Linked DNA regions of Saccharomyces cerevisiae S288C. Each later gene encodes a partner of the first gene's protein in a complex. Each region holds a gene or a part of one and is shown in the gene's direction. Other genes may lie near its edges. The genes, in order: SMD3, PRP4 and SME1.

Region 1 (2,616 bases):
GATGGCTTTCCAAAAATTTCGTTAGTTCATTCGATTTCTCCTTGAGATTCAGGTTCCAGTTTAGCAAATTGTCTTCATCAGTAGAAGCTGGCTTAGTTGTGTTTATCTTTAATTCAATATCATTCAATTGTTTCATAAAATTCCAAATAATCCAACTCGACAAGACGACTTGAGTTGATTTCCAGGGAACGTTATCCAACTGTTTTATCAATATTACGTTCAAATCGTTGTAATCTTTTATTTGGAGAAAATTCAATGCGATTTCCCCAAAGTGTGACAAGTCCTTCATGCTTCCCAAAGTTTGAGCCGCGGAATGAAAATCTTTAGCAGTGTGGAAAAGGTACATTGCCTTTGAAAGTTTTACAGATTCTATTTCCCTCACCGTCAAGCCTTTCAACGATAGGGCCTTGTCAAATTTGTTATCCCGAACTAATAAATTCCATACCGAATTAGGCTCATTTTCGATAATAATTTCAAAGACGTTGATGTTTGAGAAACACCAAAACGTTTCTTTCACCGAATCTCTTACTAGGCCTAAAAATTTCTCATTACTATCAGTGTTGGAGCCAGTCAACTGGTGTCTCGGTATAGTTTCATGAAACACTACGTCGTTATTTAATTGACTCACCATTGTTACCGTATTTTTTCTCAAAAGCAGGATGTGGAAAGCAGTCAAAACTATATCCTTGATGAGGTGATCTTTATCATTCTGGTAGTCAGGCAGTTCGAAATTGAGTAGAACCTTCGACGAAGATAGGAATTTTCCAAAATTATTAGAAGCAGGATCTTTTTCCATTTGCTTTTCTTTTAAATCACCAAAGACAATTCCATTGGATGTGACCCAAGCAAAGAGTCCATTGTACGAATCGAATTTCTTTATCGCATGATGTTTTAACCTTTCAAATTGCTCAGATTCATCTGGTAATACTAAAGGAAATTTCATATTTGTCACGTCTCTCCAGTATAAAATGTTGTCTTTTATAGTTAATAGCAGAGAGCCCTCCCAATACGCAATGCCATCAATTCCACCAGAGAGTTTCTTGTTTTCATACCATAGCTTCGTGGTTATATCCTTTCCTGTCAATTCAACTCGGTACAACTTGGGCGTCTTCTTGATTCCCATCAGAAAGGTGGTTTCGTTGATCCAATGTAGCGAGCTGAGGTCGAGATTTTTTATTTTGTTCAATTGAGTGAATTCGCCATCCTTTAGCAACATATACCGGCCAAAGTTGGTTCGAATAAGAATGACACTACCCATTGGTGAAACATGAACATTCATTATAGTTTCTAGTTCCTTGCTTAATGGACAGTCAAAGTGATTGACGATGGCCGGATCTTGTAAATTTATTCTGTAAATTGTCCGTTGTGTCGTTACTATAAGTTGATCATTGGAGACTTTCAAATGCGTAAGTTCGGTATTCCCTGTGAGGAATTGTAACTGAACTTCCTCTATACGTGTTTTTATCATTATATCCCTATATTTCTCTTTTTACTTCTTGGTACCTTATAGTTTTTACTTTTCTAGGGATGGCAGCTTCTTATTTCTTTCGTTCTATAGATTTGATATTTTTGAAATCGTTAAAAAATTCTTATAAGAGCAATACGAAGAGAATCAGAAAGCGCTGCGAGGCACGTATCAGAAACAATGACTATGAATGGAATACCAGTGAAATTATTAAATGAGGCACAGGGACATATCGTTTCTCTGGAGCTAACAACGGGAGCGACTTATCGTGGTAAACTTGTTGAAAGCGAAGATAGCATGAACGTACAGCTAAGAGATGTAATAGCTACAGAGCCCCAGGGGGCTGTAACACACATGGATCAAATATTCGTACGTGGGTCACAGATCAAATTTATCGTTGTTCCAGATCTCTTAAAGAATGCACCATTATTCAAAAAAAACTCATCAAGACCTATGCCACCAATAAGAGGACCTAAGAGAAGGTGATAATAGGAAACGTGACGGCAGAAACGCATTCATCATTGTAGGGGGAATATATATATATATTAATATTGTTTATGTAAAATATATTTGAATATAAATTTATCAGTTCGCACTGTTCGTGGTTGAATCCGCTGTTGTAGATGATTCCTTTATTTGTTCAAACTCGTTAAGATCGCAGCGAATTTGAGAATTCGTATCCCGCAACTGAGCAAATAACTGTTGTATTTCATTTTGCAACATCCGGGCATGCTCTACTGACGCTGTAGTCTTTTTTTTCTCTTCAGTGTCCATGGCTACTTCGAGCTTCTCTTTATTGCTAGATCCTTTTTAAGGTTATCTCAAAATTTTTCAAGTTGCTGCTGATTTTAGTTAAAAATAAAATATCAAAACGCCGATGAGACAGGCAGGATAAAGTGACAGATTCAGTTATACATTATGGTTAATAATTCACAGCATCCTTACATCAAAGATGGATGGTTTAGAGAGATTAATGATAAAAGTTTTCCGGGCCAGGCCTTTACTATGACCGTGGACTCAATACTTTATGAAGCCCGCAGTGAATTTCAGGACATCTTAATCTTCCGTAACAAGGTATACGGTACTGTTTTGGTCCTCGATGGTATTGTCCAATGTACGGAATTTGATGAGTTTGCCTATCAAGAGATGAT
Region 2 (3,765 bases), on another chromosome or scaffold:
ATTTGTAATTCTCGGCGCAAATTTGTTCCTAGATGATTTGAAAATTATGACTGCACTCAGCAAAATTTTGCAAAAATTAAATGATGACCCACCGACCCTATTAATTTGGCAAGGTTCTTTCACTTCAGTTCCCGTTTTCGCATCAATGAGTAGCCGGAATATAAGTAGTTCCACTCAATTTAAGAATAATTTCGATGCCTTGGCGACGCTTCTGTCAAGATTTGACAATTTGACCGAAAATACCACAATGATATTTATTCCAGGTCCTAACGATTTATGGGGGTCGATGGTGTCATTGGGGGCAAGTGGGACATTACCGCAAGATCCAATTCCTAGTGCGTTTACCAAAAAAATCAACAAGGTCTGTAAAAACGTTGTATGGAGCTCAAATCCAACTAGAATAGCATACTTATCCCAAGAAATAGTCATTTTCAGGGACGATTTATCCGGAAGATTCAAAAGACACCGTTTGGAATTCCCATTCAACGAGAGCGAAGATGTTTATACTGAAAACGATAACATGATGTCTAAAGACACCGATATTGTACCAATCGATGAATTAGTTAAAGAACCAGACCAGTTACCACAAAAGGTTCAAGAAACAAGAAAACTCGTTAAAACAATACTAGACCAGGGTCATTTATCGCCATTTCTTGATTCCTTGCGCCCAATTTCATGGGATTTGGACCACACTTTGACACTTTGCCCAATACCATCGACAATGGTTCTTTGCGACACTACTTCTGCACAATTTGATTTGACATACAACGGTTGTAAAGTAATTAACCCTGGAAGTTTCATTCATAATAGACGTGCTAGGTATATGGAGTACGTTCCATCCTCAAAGAAAACTATACAAGAAGAGATATATATCTAAATAATGCATCAAAATAAGAACACTTAAACAAGCACGGTAGTGTTGGTACTCTGCCATCTATTTGTATGGATACTTTTTGAATTTTGATGTAACGGATTTCGGCATACAATATATGGGATCTATGGGGACTAAATTGTCGTATCCCATTAAACTTAAACCAGCAACACCAAAAACTGTATGGAAGACATCCACTTCATTTTCAGGCCTGTCGCTTATTCCACCCTTCTTCTCATCTTGACATTTGAGTATAAACTCAGTTAGCTTCTCATAATTTATCCAATCTAGTCTACCAATAATAGCTAATGAAGATAAAACCCACCAACTATAGCAAACATCGGGCAGTTTACTTGGCCTACCGTTTAGTCCACCTTCTGGTAATTGTCGTTCGCAAAGCCACCACCCAATTTCTTCTAGTTGGTCGTCACTAAGCATATCCAATTTGTTAGCAATTGCCAAAGCGCCAAGACAGGTAAAAGCTTGAGCTGCATGGGATTCAGCATTAGGACATAATCCAAAGCCACCATCAAAATTATAACACTTGAGTACAAAGTCTACAGCAGGGTCAACAACTTCAGACGTTAATTCACCCAAAATTGATAGTGCACTCAAGGCTGTATAAACAAACCTTGTATCTACCTCCCCAAACCTGTCACCCTGGAACGAACCATCTTCCAATTGATTCCCACGGATGAAGGAAATCAAGCGAACCTTACGATCTTTTCCAAGAACATCCAAAGCATCATAAGTGGCCAAGATCTGTACGGCGGACAATGTAGTTAATAAATGTGCATCATGTCTTGGAAATGGTGCGAAAGCGCCGTATTTGTCGTCCCAACAGCTCAGAACAAATGATATAACCTCTTCTTTCACAAATGTCTCTGGAGAATCAAGCACACACAAGGCAGTAAGTCCCCAATATATCCCATTCAAACGAAGATGCTCGGTAAGCCAGTATTCAAAATTATGCTTCTTTGTATCCAATGATTCAATATAACGTATATGCTTTTCCTTAAGTAGCGTAAGAGATCCTGACATGTTCACAATTTTCTAGTGGAGAAAACAGAATCATTAGTAACAGTAGTGGTATCTGAAATATATATATACACAGTTTCTTAAATTGTTGTCTTTACTACTGGTATTACTATCGCTATTACAAGCGAAGTCATTAAGTACGGAAATGTTTAAACGTAGAGAGCTAGTAAAGGAAAGGCTGTTACATGATCACTAATCGTAACTTTGCAACGAGCCTGAGGGAAATGACTAGTACTATTACCTTGTTGAACGGAATATGAGTAAATATATTGCACTTGAAAATCTTCCGGTAGATTTGCAACATAAAGGAGCTACACAAAATGAAAGCACCGCTGATATACTGAAACAGTTGCCACATGAACGATTACAAGCTGTCCTGGAGAAGATACCAGAAGAAGATCTTGAGGTGAGACGATTGCTTTCAATTTTAAAGAAGCCGGAAGTAGTGGAGAATGAAGATGTACAACAAAGAAGAATACGGTTGGCTGAAATTTTAATGGTTGATGAAATTGATCTTGAGAACATTAATAACATGGAAAACATAAATGGGGAAGAAGTAGACGAAGAGGACGATGAGGACTTCTTCACTCCAGCAACATCTGAGCTCATTTTTGCGAGAAGATTTTTGATAAATTATTCACTTGAAAGATCTCGAAAGAGGCTACAGAAAGAGATGGAAAGACATCAAAAGTTCAATACAAGACAGGAATTACTCAGTCGGCGTACAGAATTACAGCGTATGGCTAATTTAGAGCTTGCTGGCTCTCAATTAGTATCTACGAAGCCTATTTCCGCAGTTTCTTTATCTACCGATGACATGGTTGTCGCAACGGGAAGCTGGGCAGGTGATCTTCAGGTATTAAATTCTCAAACACTGCAGCCATTGACACAAAAACTCGACTCTCATGTAGGGAAAATCGGAGCTATAGATTGGCATCCTGATTCAAACAATCAAATGATTTCATGCGCAGAAGACGGGCTCATCAAAAACTTTCAATACTCAAACGAAGAGGGCGGCCTTCGATTATTGGGAGATCTTGTGGGACATGAAAGACGTATTTCTGATGTGAAATACCACCCTAGTGGCAAATTTATAGGTAGTGCCTCTCATGATATGACTTGGAGACTTTGGGATGCGTCAACACATCAAGAACTGCTGCTACAAGAAGGCCATGATAAGGGAGTGTTTAGTCTGTCTTTTCAATGCGATGGATCTCTTGTTTGTAGCGGTGGCATGGACTCGCTTTCAATGCTATGGGATATAAGATCCGGAAGTAAGGTGATGACACTCGCAGGACACTCAAAGCCTATTTACACCGTAGCTTGGTCACCAAACGGGTATCAAGTAGCCACTGGTGGTGGTGATGGAATCATTAATGTTTGGGACATCAGAAAACGGGATGAAGGCCAACTAAATCAAATATTGGCGCATCGTAACATCGTTACGCAGGTAAGGTTTTCAAAGGAAGACGGCGGAAAGAAACTTGTCTCTTGTGGCTATGATAATTTGATCAATGTGTATAGTAGTGATACGTGGTTAAAAATGGGAAGTTTAGCAGGCCACACTGATAAAATTATTAGCTTGGATATTTCGAATAATTCTCATTTTTTAGTGAGCGGCGGATGGGATAGGTCTATCAAGCTCTGGAATTGATTGTGTAAAGAAATGTATTTAGTATTTTTGAAACTAACGTTTTATTAACACTGCATTATTTATTTAATTATACATTTCCTGGTTTTTTTGCCCTGGATTTTTTTTTTGTGTTACCATTTTGAGTACGAACTCGTGGAATTGTTAAGTTTTCCAAGTTGTCCATCGTCTTCGATAACTGTCCCACTAACTCCTCGTTTAGATC
Region 3 (2,950 bases), on another chromosome or scaffold:
CAAATCAATCTTATCAGCAATCTGTGGAGCCAAGAGCGTTGGATTTGCTTTCCATTGAGGAATCAAAGCCTCGATTTGTCGCAAATTATCATCTACGAGCTTTTGAAATATTACTGAAACTTTGGCCTCTGGCTGATTATTTATTACTGCACTTAATCCTTGACATAGTTCAAATTGTGACTCAATATCAATCGAACTCTGCACGTTGAGGAAGAAATTAATCAACTGATCAATATACCCAACTAATAGTTTAGAGCAGTCCGAACAGAAGAACATTAATGCATGTGATGATGCAGTGATTATACTTTGCATATCCGATGAACCCTCATGCAGTTGAAAACCGTTAAAAATATATTGCAATTGAACTTCTAGTAGTTCTGGATGCTTGGCTGTCCATTCGGTATATCTACCAAGAACTAATGTTGATGCATACCTAATCTTGGCCTGCTCTGGAAGGTTACAAATGATTTTAATGATTTCTGGCAATATAGTGTTTTCAGTCAACGAAATTTCTTTAGCCATAGTCCTCAGGGAAAATAATGGGGCTTCCATTATTTGCCAGCTATTGTTGTTTTCTATTGCGGACTTAATTCTTATTAGTGGTTGCGATAAAGCCTCAGAAGTTCCCACCACTGCAGTACAGTCTTTTAACACATCGCCCATATGATACCTGAAATCTTTAAATTTATCTTCTTCCTCTTTAGATGAAAACTGGCCTGATGGATATTGTAAATGAGTAATTATACCATTTATTAATTTAACAAAAATATCAGAGTAAGCTTTTCTTGATTCTTGATATCTTGGCAAAACTAAACTTTGTTTGAAGTTAAACCAAAAGGGGAAAGTATAGGAAACGACATCTAAGTCTTCATTTTTGCAGGTCAACATCAATAATACCAAAACCATTGGTTTAAAAAAATCGGGGTTTTTAGAAATGACAACTGACCAAGCCTCGCCAGCTTCTACGAATAATCGTGTCATACCTTCTAGGAGATCGTCATCATATTCATCGTTCAAAGGATGGTCTGTGAACAGAGTAGGCAATAGTTTTTCTTGTAAAAGCATTAACTGATGAAATAAAGCAGAAATCAACTGCTCATTAGTAGTATCTCTGCTTTCTCTGAGGATAACGCAGAGACAATCAATAGCGGAATCGAATGCCTCCATGTCACTTTCATTACCATTGGAAATAGTTTCAAACACGAGATTTATTAAGGGTTGTACGGTTAGCAACTGTTCAACAGGGAATTCATACGACCAAGAGTTCAAACACCGTAAAATTTGTTCTAATGAAATAGATGAGCTGGAATTCCCGTCTGTATTTTGTAATAGGTCTATGCATGATACAAGGAATTTCAATACATCTTCTGCTATCGGATCAATTAGTTCATGAATTCTGGAATTGAATTCCACTTCTGTCAAGGAAGTAGATGCAATGTCTAAGGTTTCCTCAGGTAAAATTCTTAAAAAGTTTAATAATATAGATGGTGAAGAATTCAACAATGAAATGATCTCGAAAATTGGATTCTGCCATTCTAAAAATTGGATCGCCAAACGTGCTAACGCGACATTCAGTTGTGTAATAATCAATTTTTGGTTATGCGATAATAAAAGCGTCAACAAAGAATCCTTGAATTGTGGTAGATTATTTTCTAATTGTGATAGATCATATGTGACTTTATTCCTTAAAGTTTGCGCAGCAAAAATATTTAATTCTAGAAGAGCGTTTGTAGGATCTTCTTTAGACAATATTTCATTGCAAATAGACCAGGCAACAGTTGATCTTTGGAATTGTTCTAAAAATTGAAGCGCTTTGTTTTTATCATCTTGAGATGCAGTAGACGATATGCATTGTAAAGCAGTTTCTATATCAGATACCTGTAAGTTGTCCATAACGCAAGTTAATCCTTAGTATATCCTCAATAAATCCTTGATACTGATCTGTCAACGAGTATTTTCATGCCTTTTTCCTTCATTTATTTTTTTGTCAATATCCCTTATGTTCGAAAATTTTTTTCAATTATACCGAAAGCCTGAGCATCTAACAGAGAAATAGAAAATTGAAGTGAAATAACAATAATAGATGGTAAAGGTAAGAGATAATACTAAGGAAAGGAGATTAAGGAACACAGGAAGGATATAGAGCGAAAAACAAGAGGCTTGGAATGTCGAACAAAGTTAAAACCAAGGCCATGGTGCCACCAATAAATTGCATATTTAACTTCTTACAACAGCAAACACCAGTAACGATATGGTTATTCGAGCAAATCGGCATAAGAATCAAGGGTAAAATAGTTGGATTTGATGAGTTCATGAATGTTGTCATCGATGAAGCCGTGGAAATTCCTGTGAATAGTGCCGATGGTAAAGAAGATGTGGAGAAGGGCACGCCCTTGGGGAAGATCCTGTTGAAAGGCGATAATATCACATTGATAACATCAGCGGACTGAAAGAAAAAGGGGAACGAGAGAAATAGACAATTCGCAAGTGACGTATATACATGGGCATATTTATTCTCGATTTGATTTTTTTTTCTTCTTTTCTTTAGTTGTAATGCGTCTAAGGCACTTTCGAATACATGACATGTTGAAGTAGTATATATATTAGTTATTTACAAGTTGGTTGTATTATTATTATTACCATTATTTCCAGCTCCATTAGAGGTGGGGTTTAATTTGGAATCAATTTTATTGGAAATGTTTTTTAAATCCTTGTTCAGATATGAATCCACTAAAGAAATATCGAAAAACTTTTCGTTTGACAAAGAGCCCATTATTGCGTTGTTAATTTGGGTTTGTAGGGTGGTGTTACCTGAAAGTAATAATTTTCTATTTCCAAATTGCGTGAAGTTAGAAGTTACATCATAGGCATCAGTGAATTCCTCCGTTTCATCGTTAAAAACCTTATCAATTTTCTTTAGTAGTTGGGATTCTGTAACGATGAATTCATT

Evidence for each region.
Region 2: SMD3 (region 1) and PRP4 share a complex: the UniProt entries of both Saccharomyces cerevisiae proteins name them as parts of the U4/U6-U5 tri-snRNP complex.
Region 3: SMD3 (region 1) and SME1 share a complex: the UniProt entries of both Saccharomyces cerevisiae proteins name them as parts of the sm core complex.

What each region holds. Positions count from the first base shown.
Region 1 is NC_001144.5:433,493-436,108, reverse strand, and holds SMD3 (mRNA splicing protein SMD3), read left to right. Parts: upstream 1-1,645; coding exon 1,646-1,951; downstream 1,952-2,616. Other genes in the region: tethering complex subunit PEP3, read right to left, coding at 1-1,468; YLR146W-A (uncharacterized protein), read right to left, coding at 2,051-2,239; SPE4 (spermine synthase), read left to right, coding at 2,384-2,616. UniProt on the Saccharomyces cerevisiae protein: Plays a role in pre-mRNA splicing as a core component of the spliceosomal U1, U2, U4 and U5 small nuclear ribonucleoproteins (snRNPs), the building blocks of the spliceosome. Also binds telomerase RNA and is required for its accumulation.
Region 2 is NC_001148.4:890,167-893,931, forward strand, and holds PRP4 (U4/U6-U5 snRNP complex subunit PRP4), read left to right. Parts: upstream 1-2,165; coding exon 2,166-3,563; downstream 3,564-3,765. Other genes in the region: DPB2 (DNA polymerase epsilon noncatalytic subunit), read left to right, coding at 1-877; Rab geranylgeranyltransferase BET2, read right to left, coding at 935-1,912; HDA3 (Hda3p), read right to left, coding at 3,631-3,765. UniProt on the Saccharomyces cerevisiae protein: Involved in RNA splicing. Is required for the association of U4/U6 snRNP with U5 snRNP in an early step of spliceosome assembly.
Region 3 is NC_001147.6:632,782-635,731, reverse strand, and holds SME1 (mRNA splicing protein SME1), read left to right. Parts: upstream 1-2,165; coding exon 2,166-2,450; downstream 2,451-2,950. Other genes in the region: mRNA transport regulator MTR10, read right to left, coding at 1-1,893; mitochondrial 37S ribosomal protein mS26 PET123, read right to left, coding at 2,612-2,950. UniProt on the Saccharomyces cerevisiae protein: Involved in pre-mRNA splicing. Binds and is required for the stability of snRNA U1, U2, U4 and U5 which contain a highly conserved structural motif called the Sm binding site. Involved in cap modification.